3 linked regions of the Arabidopsis thaliana genome follow. The protein of the gene in region 3 interacts with the protein of the main gene of each other region in a pairwise test. Each region holds a gene or a part of one and is shown on either strand. Other genes may lie near its edges.

Region 1 (3,749 bases), 1.9 Mb from region 3:
TTTGATGATTGTAACCACATCTTTGAATGTGACCCTATTGATAATCCAATTCATTGAAAATTATATACTTCAATTTCTTGTAGACTTTTTTCAATAATATTAATTCTTTTTTTTTCGCTTTGTGATACATTCATGGAGTACATGATACCAACTCATTCAAAAATTGGTGAAGATATAATATTTTAATGGTGTATATAATACACACGATATTGGGAAAAAAACAGACACGTATTACCACGAAGTTATATGTTGCTATATATCGTATAATGCTTGGAAACTTGAGACTAATTAGTTTAGCACCAGTTGGTAACCTGATGTAGATTATTGTAAAATGATCTGTGATGCGTGTTGCGGGTCGTGAACGGAATGAGAAGAGGTAGACATTGTAATAGGTTAGTTTAGTTTGGTCACTTAATGTTGTGTATTGATTATGCCTGGAAAATGAAACCAATGGAACGTAACTAGACTCATTCAGAAATTAAACGAAATGAAACAGAAATTAAAGATAGTAAATAGACCTACTTAAGTTAATGTTTGTGCTTGTAATGATCGTAAAATTGAACATAACAAAAATACATAAAGATAGATTTAGCCAGGCCATATCCAAAATTCTTTTTTTTCCTCGTGGGACCTATGACCCAAGCAAAGTTGTTGGGCCTGTTCATAGCTAAGAAAAAGTTAGTTGGCCTTTCCTTAGGAATTTTTCAAAATTTGATAAATGAGAGGCTCGACACCTTACATAAACGTAAATATTTCGCTAATATTGCTCTATAGTAGACTAGTAGTGGCATCCATTTCTTTTTTCCTAGGAAATGAAGTTAGATTTTAGACGTTGACCAGATGAAATATAAACAGAGATCGTACTACACAAAAGCTCATTTTTTCCTTTTTGGGTTAGAGCGATAAATAAACATAAAAGAAAAGATTAGTATGGAGATACACAGATTCATGAAACGTATGGTTCACGTATTACTATTGTTACTAGCGATTCATGCGCATATCCAAGCCGTTGCTTCAATCACAAATACTTCTGTCTCAGCCGTCCATCTGAAACCTAATTCCATCTTAGGTAACAAAACGTGTTGTAAGATAGATTTCCCGGTTTGGCAGCGGGAGCTTCGAAGCAGCGGTGGTGGCGGTGGAGGAGGTCGTGGTGGTGGTGGAGGTGGCAGCAGTGGTCGAGGCGGCAACAGCGGTAAAGGGGGCAGTAGAGGATCTTCTAATAGCGGCGGCCGTGGCAGCAGTGGAAATGGTAATGGCGGTACCGGTGGTGGCCATTCTGTAGGAAGCGGGGGTGACTGCTTCAAACACCGTGGTCTCACCGGAACTACAATATTTCTCGTCTTCGTAAGCACTTTGATTCTTTATGCGTTGAAACAGTAATTACATGTTATTTTATTTCTGTTTCAAAGTTAAATACTCCATTGTATATACACTTTGATCATGTCTGTTGAACAATAAAAAAAATGTATCCTATGTGTTTGAATTAAATGTGGGTAGCTTTCCTCAGACGGCTCATAATAATAACTTGTGGAGGAAATAAACTCTCCTGGGTCCTGGCCATTAAGGTTTTGCCACGTGGTATTAAGCCTTTAATCTTAAAAAGTTTAACGTAATAAAAAACATCGCAACGACAAGTTCTAGGATCCGACGGTTCATATTGATCGAATGACGATGATGACTACCAATCACAAGGCTCCGCATCAATTTACCAGTCCCCATTACCCACGTGTTTTTTAATTTCTTTTTTTGTTTGCATATATATACACTAATGTTACAACATACAACTATATCTTCATCAACGAAACGAAACTTTGATTTTGGTTTTCTGTTCTGTTCTTCATCTCTCTCTGTCTCCCGATTCTGTTCTGGTGATTTTTTTGGTTGTTGTGTGGATTATAATCCGATATCAGGAAGAAGACGTCATGTTTTTATTCGATTGGTTCTATGGAATCTTGGCCTCGTTAGGGTTGTGCAAAAAAGAGGCGAAAATCTTGTTTTTAGGCCTCGACAATGCCGGAAAAACTACTTTGCTTCACATGCTCAAAGATGAGGTAGGCTTTATTACTTCTACGCTCTCTCTTCAACTAATATATGTATTACTGAGAAATTTTGTGATTCTTGTAATCGAAGATGCTTTAATATCGCTTTTGGTGTTGCAGAGATTAGTTCAGCACCAGCCAACACAGCATCCCACGTCTGAGGAACTTAGCATTGGCAAAATCAACTTCAAGGCCTTTGATTTGGGTGGCCATCAGATTGCTCGTAGGGTTTGGAAAGACTGCTATGCCAAGGTTCACATCCTAATCCTAACTAGATTACATGTTTTGTGTTTATTGATTTGCTTATGATGGAACCAAAATCAAATCTTTCTCTGTGTGTGTGTATAAACTATAAAGGTTGATGCTGTTGTCTACCTAGTGGATGCTTACGACAGGGATAGATTTGTGGAGTCGAAAAGAGAGCTAGACGCTCTTTTATCAGATGAAGCCTTAGCAAATGTTCCCTGTCTTATTCTTGGCAACAAGATTGATATACCTTATGCATCCTCAGAAGATGAGCTTAGGTATTACTTAGGTCTCACCAATTTCACTACCGGTAAAGGCATAGTGAATCTTGAAGACTCTGGTGTTCGTCCCCTTGAGGTCTTCATGTGCAGCATCGTCCGCAAAATGGGTTATGGCGAGGGTTTTAAATGGCTATCTCAGTATATCAAGTAGGAAACCAAGACAGCATTGGTGATTTGCTTCACGTTTTATGAATCAGACATCTCACTCTCTCTATTCTGGTTTTCTTTTAAGTTTTAATAGTAGTAAGTCGACTCCAAACTTCTTGTGCATTATACTATTGGCGTAGTTGTGTTTCTTTGTTGAAAGAAACCGAACAAAACAGATTTTTGTTCTAATCAATTCATTAGAAACTAATCAAACCTGGTGGCCGCATTTTCACCGAGCCAGAAAAATACAAATGTGCTTACAAATGAACTTGATTACCGTATTTAGCAATAAGTCTGGCCTCTATTGACAAAAACCAGCTACTTCTCAGACTGAAACATCGCAAATGGTGCTTTGGCCAGTAGACTTTCTAAGGCGGTTCTTTTTCATCAACGTTCGTACCTTCTCCACATCTTGCCATCTCCCTTCCTCTGCATACAAATTAGATAACAACACATAATTCCCCGAATTCCCTGGCTCAATCTTCACTAACTCCATTGCTGCAACTTCTGCTAGCTTTACATCTCCGTGGCTACGACAAGCACTGAGCAGCGACCCCCACATTGCCGCATTTGCGTTTACGGGCATATTTTTTAGAAACTTAAACGCCTCTGTGATTCTCCCACTTCTACTCATTAGATCTACCATGGCACCGTAATGCTCGGTTCTCGCCTCAAGTTTGAATCTTTCCATCATCAAACCAAACAATTCCTCTCCTCTCTCCACCTGACCTGTGTATGAGCAACATGCCAAAACCCCCAAAAATGTCGCTTCATTTGGAGCTACTTTCCCTTCCTCTATCATAGCATCAAACAAGTCTATCCCAAATTCTCCCTTTCCGTTTACGGCTGATCCCGATATCAATGTGTTCCATGAAACAACGTTTCTACGCTGCATTTTTCTAAATATAGCCGTTGCTGCCTCCAAGTCGCCGCTTTTGCAGTAGAAATCTACCAAAGCGTTTCCCACGGTGATGAAATCTTTAAACAAACCACTGGATTCTGCGGTAGAATGAATCCATTTTCCGGTATCCAA
Region 2 (6,460 bases), on a different chromosome or scaffold from region 3:
GCCTGTTGGGCCATGTATCTATTCAAAATGCATCCAAAATATATCAACAACAACAACAACCACCAAATTAACCAGATGGTACAATATAACAGCTTTAAAGAGTAACCAAATTCTTTATCAATACATACTTCAAATTATCTACCAACATTAACAATGGAAATCCTAAGCATTGTTTAGGAATACCAATTCTATTGATTTTCGACGATTTTGCAATGTAGAATGTAGAAAAGTTCAATTAGAAGAAAAAAAGTCATACCACAAGATCTACACCATCCTCGTTAAAATGCCATTGAGAGTCAGACTTGATGACGACGAAAGAGACATGAAGCGTATCACCTTCATATTCAGCCTTGTGGGAGAAACATTCTTCACGGTCTATCACGAATCTAATCCCTAACGTAGCCTGGAAGCTCCATAAGAGCCCTAGTAATACGATCGTACCCTTCAAGCTCATCTGCCACAATAATTTCGAATTATATCAAAGCACAAAACGCAATTCAATCGTTTAGAAGAAGAATCGACTAGAGATTCCAAACCAAACCAAATTGAATTGTTCCAATTTCGATTCCTACGAGGTGATTAGGTTTGACACAGAGAGTGAGAGGGATTTACCTTCTTGAGAAGATCAAATCTGATGATTGATTGATTAGATCGATGGAAACTCGATCTGGTCGATGAGTGTTAAGAAAATTTGAAGATTGATCGGAGTAGAAGACGGTGGAGAGAATTGGATGAGAAAGAGCGAGCTCGTTCAGAATCGGACACGAAGAAGCCTGTTTTGACTCAAGGGGCAGTTTCGTTACCCGACAAGATCATCAAACTATAAACGACGTCGCTTGCTTACTCTTTGGGTTATTTGGTCAGCGGGCTTACGTGGCGTTATATCATTGGAGATAAAACATCTTTAAACCATTTAGATATTGCCACGTCATATTATGTCGAAAATGGAAACTCCATAAAATCAGTACGTTTCATTAGGAAGACTTTATAGGTTTCTCGTTTTTTACTTTGCCACAGTGGAATGTTTACTTGCTTTGCTAAAGAAACAAATGTTCTGACGTGTACCATCAGATTATCTTGTTTGCGGTAACAAGGAGTGTGAGTTTTGGTACGGTTTTCGTTATGAGTTGTAGTCAGATATATTCTTAATTTTCAAATTATCTTTGTTTGTTGGATCGATTATTTCAGTTCGATTCGGATCAAATACGAAGAACATGTTTCTACCCTTACTCTCTCATGCGTTTCCTTAATTAATCAATTTAGGTTCAGGTTTTGAGTTTATAGAAAATGATCAAATTACATATATGGCTGGACCAATATATTCCTATACGAGTGAGACAGATCCAACCATGCCTACACCAACGTTCAATTTTTTTGTAATAAAAAACTACATTTTTGGTTGAAGCACAACGAGGCCTACCTTTGATCCATCTTAAAGCTGTTGAAATGTCCTCATTCAACATTCACTTGAAGAAGTTCCTAAGTCCACTGAAGAGCCGTAGAGCCTTCAGCTCACCACTTCTGATATCTCTCAGTCTCCTCCTCAGAATCTGACCCAAACAAAACAAAAAAAAAAACACAGATTCCACAATATCATGGATCGATCCACAGACTCTTATCTATCGTATTGGCTAGAAAGTTGTTCCTTACGTATTGAGCACGGTACAGTATCCTGCGCTCACTAGTGGACAAGTCTACAGCTAGCTGTTTCAGAAACGCTTTTCGGTTCAACTGTTTTGGAGATGTTATGTCCAAATCCATTGATCCACTTTCCTACAATTAGATAATTGACAAAGCAAACTATAAGCAGATGGAGTGAAAATTTTCCCACAAAGAGAGAGAGATGAGCTGTTTTGTTACTTACCTTTAGAAATCGGCTGTACTTTGATATGCTTGTTTCGCATGAGTCCAGTATGAACTGCAATGCGTCTTCCTCGATTTCAGGATATTTTAGATCATTCTTTGTTGATGTCTTATTTGAAGCAGCTTTCGCCATCTGAAATGGATAATAATTGATAAGAGATGTATTATGAATTTGGGAAGAATTGGATGGTAAAAAGGGTCAAGATGGAGTTGCCAAACCTCTTCAAAGTTGTTTCTCATATCTGGAGGGCTCACCACAAGATAAGCATATGCCATTAGCTCCATTGGCCAACCCGTTATCCTTACGGGAAAGCATTGAGGTCTGCCAGAGAAAAGTTAACACAAACAATCAAAACAAAACTCAAGTTAATCAAGAGAGATCTACAAATTTGAGAGGGGAACATGGATGGTGGAGAATGGAATACGTCGATAATCCGTGTTTCTTTAAAGCATCCAGCTTTTCCTCGTAACACTTATCGTTTTTCCTAAGTGATAATGCTAGTTCTACTGAATCACTAGGATTGGTTCCTTCTCTGGGAACAAACCCATAAGATAACAATAGCTCTCCGTTAGATTTATTCCCATAGGATATGAAAACCTGCACAATGTCATGTTACTGAAACATATCAGAGACTTCAGACAACATTGGTTCCACTTTGGACTGACTTACTGAAGCGCTAAAAGGCAAACTGTGTAAACGGGACTTCTTTGTGTTATACACTGACTTATATTAAACTTCAATGCTCGCTCAGGTTATCTGAATGAATTTATCTTATTTACCTGCTCACCTGGTTGATATGGTCGATCTGTTGTAAAGACAACTCCTTTTGAAGATTTATCATAATCCAGGAACGTCTCAACCTTTCCAAGCAGATTTTGAAATATTGATTACCATAAGTCAATCATGCTTTCTGATTAGGAGAATCTAGGAGCTAATTGGTCATAAAGATAAGTAGAAGTACCTCACAATTATGATTAAGCATATCTGCCCATGGAACTAAGGCAAATCTTCCATCCATAGAAGGCAACCGCACCTGTGTTAGAGAAGCTTAAGTCTGAATTGCAGAGACAAGCACGCAGCACACGGAAGGAAAGAGAAACGAAATAATGCAATATTTTGGTTGTGAGTGGTCATTGTTCAAACAATAAATTGTTGGAGACAGCTATATTATGCAGAAAGTCATGCTAAGATTAAAGAACAAGTCTGTTGTTTCAAATTCAAGACATCTAGATTTACATCAATTATCAAGATAATGATTGCTTATGATACAGTAGTTCTTACCAACCGTGAGAATAGGATTCCAAAAGACCACTTAAATGTCTCATCATTGAAAACCTGCAACCAAGAAATAGCACACTCATATACATGTGGACAAAACAAATTTAAGCTCAGATAATAAAATAGAACCAACACTAGTTGTAATTACAGAAGTGCATCTTATTACATGTCCAAATAGTAAGCTGTAGCAAAATGGGCGTATACCAGTTACCTCTTTAGGGAAAAGTTGAGGGTGTTTGGAAAATATCCTGCTTCTTAGATCTTCATAACTGAGGAAAAGAAAAAGGAAAAAGACATGAGCAGTGTCTTGCAAGACATAATCATCAACCCCCTAGCCTACAAACAATAAGTACTAGTGACTGCATCAATGATTTCCAGCAGTTGAGAGAAAGAAAGAAAGAAAGAACAATATCTCACGTTCCAACAACATTGGTGATTCTTTCAATTGCCCGTTCTCGAATCTGAGAAGCTTCCAAGTACATATCAAGCTCTGTCCGAGTCCTGAAATAGTACAAAAAGGCTGTAGGGAGTAAGAAACTGAGACCAAAGTTCAGCTACAGAAACAAGTACAAAACTTACCAGTATAAAAGCGAGTAAGGTTGTCGGGGAAGAGCTGAGATATAGTTAAACCATCTTGAGCTTTTCTGAAGACTTGCTTCACTTATAAGATAAGTGGCGAGCAAAGGCCAATCTGGAACATCATAACGTTTCATCACTTCACCAGCTTCTGCGTTGGTCCATTCCTAAAACCCAATCTCCGATATTAGATATTCACATTCATGAAAGCCAGATACTTTAACCTTGCATTGATCTGAACAAGAGGTGAGGGATTGCTTGCAAGTGAGATCAAGGAATATAAGATTAGATTCTTTGATTCCGAGTGAAATTAGGAGTGTGAACTTACGGAATCAGCACTGATGACGAGAGAAGGAGGAACGAAGAGCAATTTCTCTCCTTTTCTGAGATTCTGTGAAGCGACGAGGCCTCGCTCACCGATGTCGACTCTATCAATAGCCATTTTCTGCGGAGGGAGACCTGAATCAGAGAGCCAGTTCTGAAGAGAAGTAGCGTTCTCAAGTGAATCAATCTCGCATCCCCATGATATCTTCGGAGCTTCCTCCATGGATTGTATTGTAGTCTCACCGGCCGAAACTGAGCAGTGGATTCCGGGACGGCATCGGGACAGCGGAAGCGGTGAGAAAGAGAGGGTGATGTTTTGATTACGAAGTTTGTGAAGTGGAGAGTAAGCTGGGAGTAGAGTAGACTGCAAGAGGCAAGCTTTTGCCATCGGAAAAGAGAAAACGATGAAGCGAGAAGACGAATGGTTGCACTTAGCAGAGGGGGCATGACAAAATTAAAAGATAATGTTTTTAAATTCGAACCAAAATTAGTTTGTGGATTTACGGTTTGGTTCGGTTTTGAGTTTAATTTGATGCTAAGGAAAAAAAATCTAAGCTGCCTATGGATAATGATATTAATATTCAAAACTTTGTTATGCGCTAATGCTAATGGGAAAAAGCCTAGTGATTAGATTTTGATAGAATCAGTTGATGAGATTTATTGAAAAATTGTTTCCATAACAGCAATATCTGGACGGTTTATTAGAATTTAGAAGCAATAGGGACCCAAAACACAGGAAAATTAATGAAAAAATTGAAGATTTGTTTATGTAAATGACAATCCCTAGAGTTGCTAATTGCTATTAATAATGCTAAAAGCGTACTGGACCTGGTAAATATTTGGACAACCATATAACTCATTATGTTTTTGAAATCCAATTTTTAAAATATTTTAATTTGGTATTGTAAAAGAAATTACCAAAGACAAAAAAAATAAACTTATTCAGTAAATTAAATATATATGTAATTATCATGGTGGGGATAATAATAACGTATTATAATTATTTGATAATTTAAATATTTACATAGAAAACAATAATACGTTACTGAGATGTAAAAATATAAATAATAATATGCTAATCATTAAATCGCTCATCTCATAATGATATGGGTAACATCGTTTGAGATAGTTGAGATTTAATATGATCAAGTTACAATCAAAACTTATCTTCTTCTTATTTTCTTAAATACTATGTTTTATGTTTGTCATTATTATGTAGTGTAAATATTCAGAAGATATCCTAAATCCTAATTTAAATATATTTGTGGACAAAAAAAGATTGTGACAACAATTTGGTTATCATTATTTACCAAAGATTCAGATTAAAACAAACAAAAAAACTCAATATTAAAAAGCTACAAAGGAATGCAAAACAAAATTGAAAAAAGAAAAGAGAGCCCTACGCTTCCAAAATCACAGTGCGTATTATTTTGCTCATTCCTTTCTCTCGCCCCCTTCCTCTTTTTTTTTTTTTTTTCTTGTTCCTTCTTCTTTCTTCTTCTCCTTCGTCGACCCAAACTAGTTTCAAATCCCATCCTCTCGTACTGATTTATCACTCGCCTCTTCGTATACATATATAGGTACTCAGACCTCTTTTGGTCTAGGTCCAGATTTCGATTCCTGTTAAAATATCAGAAGCGAGATTTTACGTTTGATAGAAGAGAGGATGGTCGGCAGTGGCGCTAGGGTTTCGATTTCGGCTACTACTCGGAAGATGATTCAGAACATTAAGGAGACCACTGCTGGGAACTATAGCGAGGATGAGATTATCGCAATGCTTCATGAATGTAACATGGATCCTGATGAGACCGCTCAACGCTTACTTCTTCAGGGTATAATCTCGACCTTCTCTGCACTTTTTTCTTTACCTAATTTCTCTTCTTTGATTGGATCGAGATTGTATTTTTCGATTTGGGGTTTTCTCCTGTAACTTAGGTTTTAGCATCTGATTTCTCTGCTCTTTGATTTTTTTTTTTCAGATTTTATCTGAATTCACTATCATCGGTTTCTTCGCCTATTAAGTTTTAAGCTGTCTCTAGTTGTTTATGTGATATTGTGTTGTAACCTCCTTTTCACAAAAAAAGGTTCACGAATTGATTTGGAATATACGGGAATCAATTACTTACACTAGTGATGTGTGAAACAAAGAGAATTAGCTTCTAACTAGAATTTTTCTGAGTGGTTTGTCTAGGAATAATACTTTTGCTAGGTATGAGTTCTAAACAAAGACTGCTGCGTTGTAGATGAATCTAGTGCTTAGAAATCCACATTTTCATCATCTTACCAAAACAAATTGTTATGAAAATAGGATTCTTTGGAGATGTGGTATTGCATCAGGCTTTTCGAGTGCTTCATGTAACCTGCTTGTGTACCATGTAATTTAGAGATGGTTGCTAGGATATGTTTTAAGTTTTTTTT
Region 3 (4,499 bases):
GCTGTTAATCCTCTATATTCTTAAAATGCAGCCATATGAATAAAAAAGAAGAAGATAGTATTAATATCCATGCCATTTCTCTAATCTAAAAGAGGACTACCTGCCGTTTCAACATTAACCAAACATCACGCCGTTTCTTATTGTAGAGCTAAAATCGCGCGCCGTTTAGATACGATCGTCTTAACAATACAGAGATGAAGAAATCAATAACAAATGAAAGAACATGGAAAGGATTCGATTTGTACTGAAGAAATCACAACAAGAAGAATCAATTTTGCCCAGAAATGAGAAATAATCAAAAGCCTTTAGCACCAGATTCTTTCAAAACAGCAGGTTGATCAGCCATAGATAAACAGTACTTAGCAATCTCTCTGAACTTAGGGACACTTCTCAAATCCACTTTAGTTCCATCTTTCAAAGTAATGATGATATCTCCCCATTCTCCGATGAACCTCGGCACAACTTGAACGTCTTTTATCACTTTGTACGAGAAATCGCTCCGATCATCTCCGGTGAGTCCCGAAATAACCGTCACGCGGAGGTTAGTGAACCTGTAACGAAGGTTAAAAGCTCGAGACACTGCAGCTAAGGTTAGTGGGAGCCAAAGGATGGTTAGACCTAGAATGAGATTGGCTAATAGATCTCCGTAATGAGCTCCGCCGTCGAAGTAGACTGTTTCTTTCTTCGCCGGTTTGGAATCGGAAGGAACGGTGGATGCGGATGCGGAGGAGGAAGCTAGGAGCAATCTTTGAATGTGTCTTTGTGGTAGTTTCGTGGAGGGAGACAATGAAGAAGCGGGGAAGGAGAAGGTGGTTGAGAGGAGGAGAGATTTGCGAACGACGGAGGTTACGGCGGTTGACGGCGGAATTGAGGAAGAAGCTGCCATGAGAGAATGATTTGAGTGACTGGAAGATTTGGAGTGAAAAGATGATGACTTCTCTGTTTTTTGGATTTGATTTTTTGGCGCAAATTGTGCCACGTGGCCTAAGCTCTATGGATACAACATCTATCCAAATATTGAATCAATATCAACCATAGAATGATATAAATCAGAAATTATATAAGAAAAAAGATTATGCTACTAATGAAGAGTTAAGATGTAGGTAATGTAACCAAACTCTATATCAGCATCATCATGTGAGAGTATACTTTGATAGATTTCTATATGGTATTCGTTTTGATAAAATTTGGTCTTATCACACTTCATGAGCCAGTTATTCATGATCAGCTTTGCATCATATATATTCACAGACGAATACGGTTCTGAATCGGGCCATTGGTCTATTCACTGCCTTGAGCCGCGGGTACCGAGATCAGATGCGGCTTTAGCAGCTCTCTCTAATGCACCAGACAGCCAAAGAGCTCCGCTGGAGAAGTAACTGCTATTGACAACACTAGTTGCAGCTGCTGCCGCGGTTCTTCCTGTGGCAAAGACAGCTGATTTAGCTGTATCTGAAACATGATACCTTTGGTCAGTCATTCTAACAGCTTCAAGTCCGGTAAAGATTTTGTCAGTAAGACCAATCCTCTGTTCTAGTTGAGATACTCTAGCCACCGCTGCAGCTGATACGCCGTGGGATTCATCAAAGGCTTTAGCTTTGCTTAAAGCGTCTTTGCCTAGCACGAATCCTGTGGCAAGCATTATTTTCACCACTTCTTGAGCTTTTGTCACTGCTTCTCCAGCGTTGAACTCGCTTCGTTGAGCATAATGCTACATGATTGAAGAACGAATAAGCTTTAGAATTGAGACCAAGCATCAAACTTCAACATAAAGACTACTGAACCAGTGACCGTTAGATTTAACTATTTTAACAAAAAAAGAAGACAGAAAGATCAAAGTTGAGAGAAGTGTCAAAAGCGATACATACTTGTGAGTCCGATTCATCTTCAAAACCTCGCGAAGTCGCATTCCAGAAATCGAACTCTTCGTGATGTTGTCCCCAACGAGTTATACAAACACGCTGATCCAATATCGTTGCGCCCTGAAGATATCAAAGAAGTGAGTGATTTCTCAAGAGACATCCAAAAAAGATAGAAAGAGTGAATCAAATCCAAACTAACACTTACAGTGAGTAAAACAGCAGTTTCTTGAGAATAAGAATCCTTAAACATCACATAAGCAGTACAAGCTTGCTCACCCGACCTAGTCTCATTAACAACATTACAAAGTGTACTCTTTTGAATCCAGAATAAGCAAACAAACAACAAACTTGCTAAAAAGTAAAAAGACTCACCTGACAATATCAATATCTTGGATAGTACCAGAGAAAGAGAAGAAATCGATAAGATCATTATGAGTAACAGATGGAGATAACCCAGTAACTTCAACACCATATCCAAATTGATGATCCATCTCTGCTCAATAAGCTAAAAACAAAACAAAAAACCTAAAAATTTCAACATATCCTAAGTCAATAAATTAAATTACTTCCAGTTCGTGATTCAACTTTGGGAACTACATAGAACTTTCCGATTTAGCTTTACATGATTTGGGATTGAAATTTTCAAGCGAAATTTGAGCAAGGACAGATTGCCAAATATGTTCAGACCTAAATCGTTGATTCACTAAGCTCTAGAGAAGAAATTTAAGGAATCGAAGAATAGAAGTTACCTGTTGTAGTTGTTGTTGACCAACGGAGATCACACACAGAGAAGCTTGAAAGAGAGACAAAGGTGATGAATTGATGAAGTTGATGATGTGAGTGGGAAAGAGAAGGACTACCTTTTCAGTGAACGAAAAAGACGCAATTTTAAAAAGCTAAAAACTGCGCCGTTTAGTAACTCAATGTTGGGCCTTTAATGTCTTGAGTTAGCCCATATCGTTAACGGTTCTAAATGTAATAAAAAATTCTACATGAAAGGCCCAATGTTGTTTGATTATTTTCCAGTCTCAAACAACCCATAATCACAAATATTTTTTGAAACATAAATTTTCATCTTATGCTATTTTTTATTTTAAAAATCAGTCTTTACATATTAAAATTAAATCATTAATCATTACTAAGTGTTTGTACAAGAAGCAAAAATTAACAATCTATAGACGATTTTGTTTTTTTTCAGCAACGATTTTAACATTCTAGAACCTTTTTTATACCTTAGTATTGCATGTATATATAAAAATTGGAGTAATTTTAGATATTATCTGTCTAACCGTCCAAAGTCCAAACAGGTAAAAGTTCTCTAAGTGATAACTTTTTAAAATCTCTAAAGAGACAAATTTGACAAGTGTATGTGATATAAATACTTATGTTACTGTTAATACATGAGAGAAATTCAACGGAAAAGAAAGTTAGACCATTTTCATTGGGGGTTTTTTATAAGAGTTTCTCACAATTAAAAAATAAAAATAATAAAAATGAAGGAGAGAGAGTAGAAAGTTTCTTACTTGAGAAACTCTGAGATATTCTCTACAATCCATCATGATAATTCCCTTTTAATTATTGATTCAACTTTTTAATAAAAATATTTTTTTAATCAAAAAATCAAATTATAATATAATATTAATTTTTTTTTGTTTGAGAAACTTTGTGGGTTTTTCATGGATGGAGATGCCCTTAACTAAAAAGGAGAAAAAGAAAAGACGTGTGCCTAACAAATGTTTGATGTAATTGGTAAAAAAACGCAAAGAACATTATTATTATTAATATTCTTTGCATATGAGCCGTTGGCCAAATCAATACTTACGTCTCTCTTTCTCCATCTCTCATTGTCTCTTTCTACTTCTTTCCACGGCCACGTCCGTCTGTCAAAATTTACTAGTTTTTAATTCAGATTGATCTAGTCAGAATCTACTTTTTTTTTATGTGTGTGGTTCATGTTTCTATATTCTGACCCCTGCTGCAGTGAATTGCTATTTATGTATTTTTCATGCAAAACCAAAATTCACTGCTGGAAATGTATATTTTTCATATATGTAAACACCAGATAGTTTAATTTTGTTTTTTCACTTGTCTACCAAAATTAGAACTTTTATTAAACAACAACAATAAGGTGCTTGCGACTATAGCTTTAGAAGTTCAAGTATATGGATTATGGAACTTCTAAAAATTGCGACTATATATAAGCAAAAAACATATATTTAAGAAAAAAATAAATGTTCTAAATTACAGGAAATAGTTGAATATTGGTCCTCCAAATACAATTATCTTCACCATATATGATTATAACAATAAAATATAAAAGGTTGACCATTGACTAATGTATATATTCTATAGCTAGGTTAGACGTTTTGATTCGGATTTTGAATTTCATAGTGAAAGATTTTGATATTGAGTTGACGTCAATTCGGAGATCTACAACAAGACTACAACGTGTTTTATCAAACTCACCTGTTTTTCTTAAATCATAATTTTCTTTGTCTTTAATTGACTCGATTAGTCGATTCAAATATCACATTCCAAGTTGATATCTCCCAATTTTCCTCTATTGTTAATAGAGTTTGTTTATTGTTATTATATTATTTGTATCTAGTAAGCTTTTTTCATATGTGATTCTTAATA

The links.
Region 1: the proteins of AT1G14340 (region 3) and SARA1A interact in a two-hybrid assay, tested with the Arabidopsis thaliana proteins (one large-scale study listed by BioGRID).
Region 2: the proteins of AT1G14340 (region 3) and AT3G07670 interact in a two-hybrid assay, tested with the Arabidopsis thaliana proteins (one large-scale study listed by BioGRID).

The regions. Positions count from the first base shown.
Region 1 is NC_003070.9:2,963,222-2,966,970, forward strand, and holds SARA1A (secretion-associated RAS super family 1), read left to right. Parts: upstream 1-1,801; 5' UTR 1,802-1,925; coding exon 1,926-2,054; intron 2,055-2,162; coding exon 2,163-2,294; intron 2,295-2,399; coding exon 2,400-2,720; 3' UTR 2,721-2,751; downstream 2,752-3,749. Other genes in the region: AT1G09176 (uncharacterized protein), read left to right, coding at 931-1,383; AT1G09190 (Tetratricopeptide repeat (TPR)-like superfamily protein), read right to left, coding at 3,042-3,749.
Region 2 is NC_003074.8:2,449,621-2,456,080, reverse strand, and holds AT3G07670 (Rubisco methyltransferase family protein), read right to left. Parts: upstream 4,518-6,460; 5' UTR 4,431-4,517; coding exon 4,047-4,430; intron 3,954-4,046; exon of another isoform or gene 3,886-3,953; coding exon 3,722-3,885; intron 3,644-3,721; coding exon 3,560-3,643; intron 3,412-3,559; coding exon 3,354-3,411; intron 3,200-3,353; coding exon 3,146-3,199; intron 2,898-3,145; coding exon 2,826-2,897; intron 2,725-2,825; coding exon 2,644-2,724; intron 2,462-2,643; coding exon 2,289-2,461; intron 2,186-2,288; coding exon 2,083-2,185; intron 1,997-2,082; coding exon 1,865-1,996; intron 1,774-1,864; coding exon 1,651-1,773; intron 1,551-1,650; coding exon 1,464-1,550; 3' UTR 999-1,463; downstream 1-998. Other genes in the region: p24beta2 (emp24/gp25L/p24 family/GOLD family protein), read right to left, coding at 1-18, 257-454; AT3G07660 (flocculation protein (DUF1296)), read left to right, coding at 5,709-5,874.
Region 3 is NC_003070.9:4,895,563-4,900,061, reverse strand, and holds AT1G14340 (RNA-binding (RRM/RBD/RNP motifs) family protein), read right to left. Parts: upstream 2,717-4,499; 5' UTR 2,612-2,716; intron 2,368-2,611; 5' UTR 2,354-2,367; coding exon 2,235-2,353; intron 2,144-2,234; coding exon 2,068-2,143; intron 1,983-2,067; coding exon 1,869-1,982; intron 1,712-1,868; coding exon 1,286-1,711; 3' UTR 1,027-1,285; downstream 1-1,026. Other genes in the region: AT1G14345 (NAD(P)-linked oxidoreductase superfamily protein), read right to left, coding at 296-886.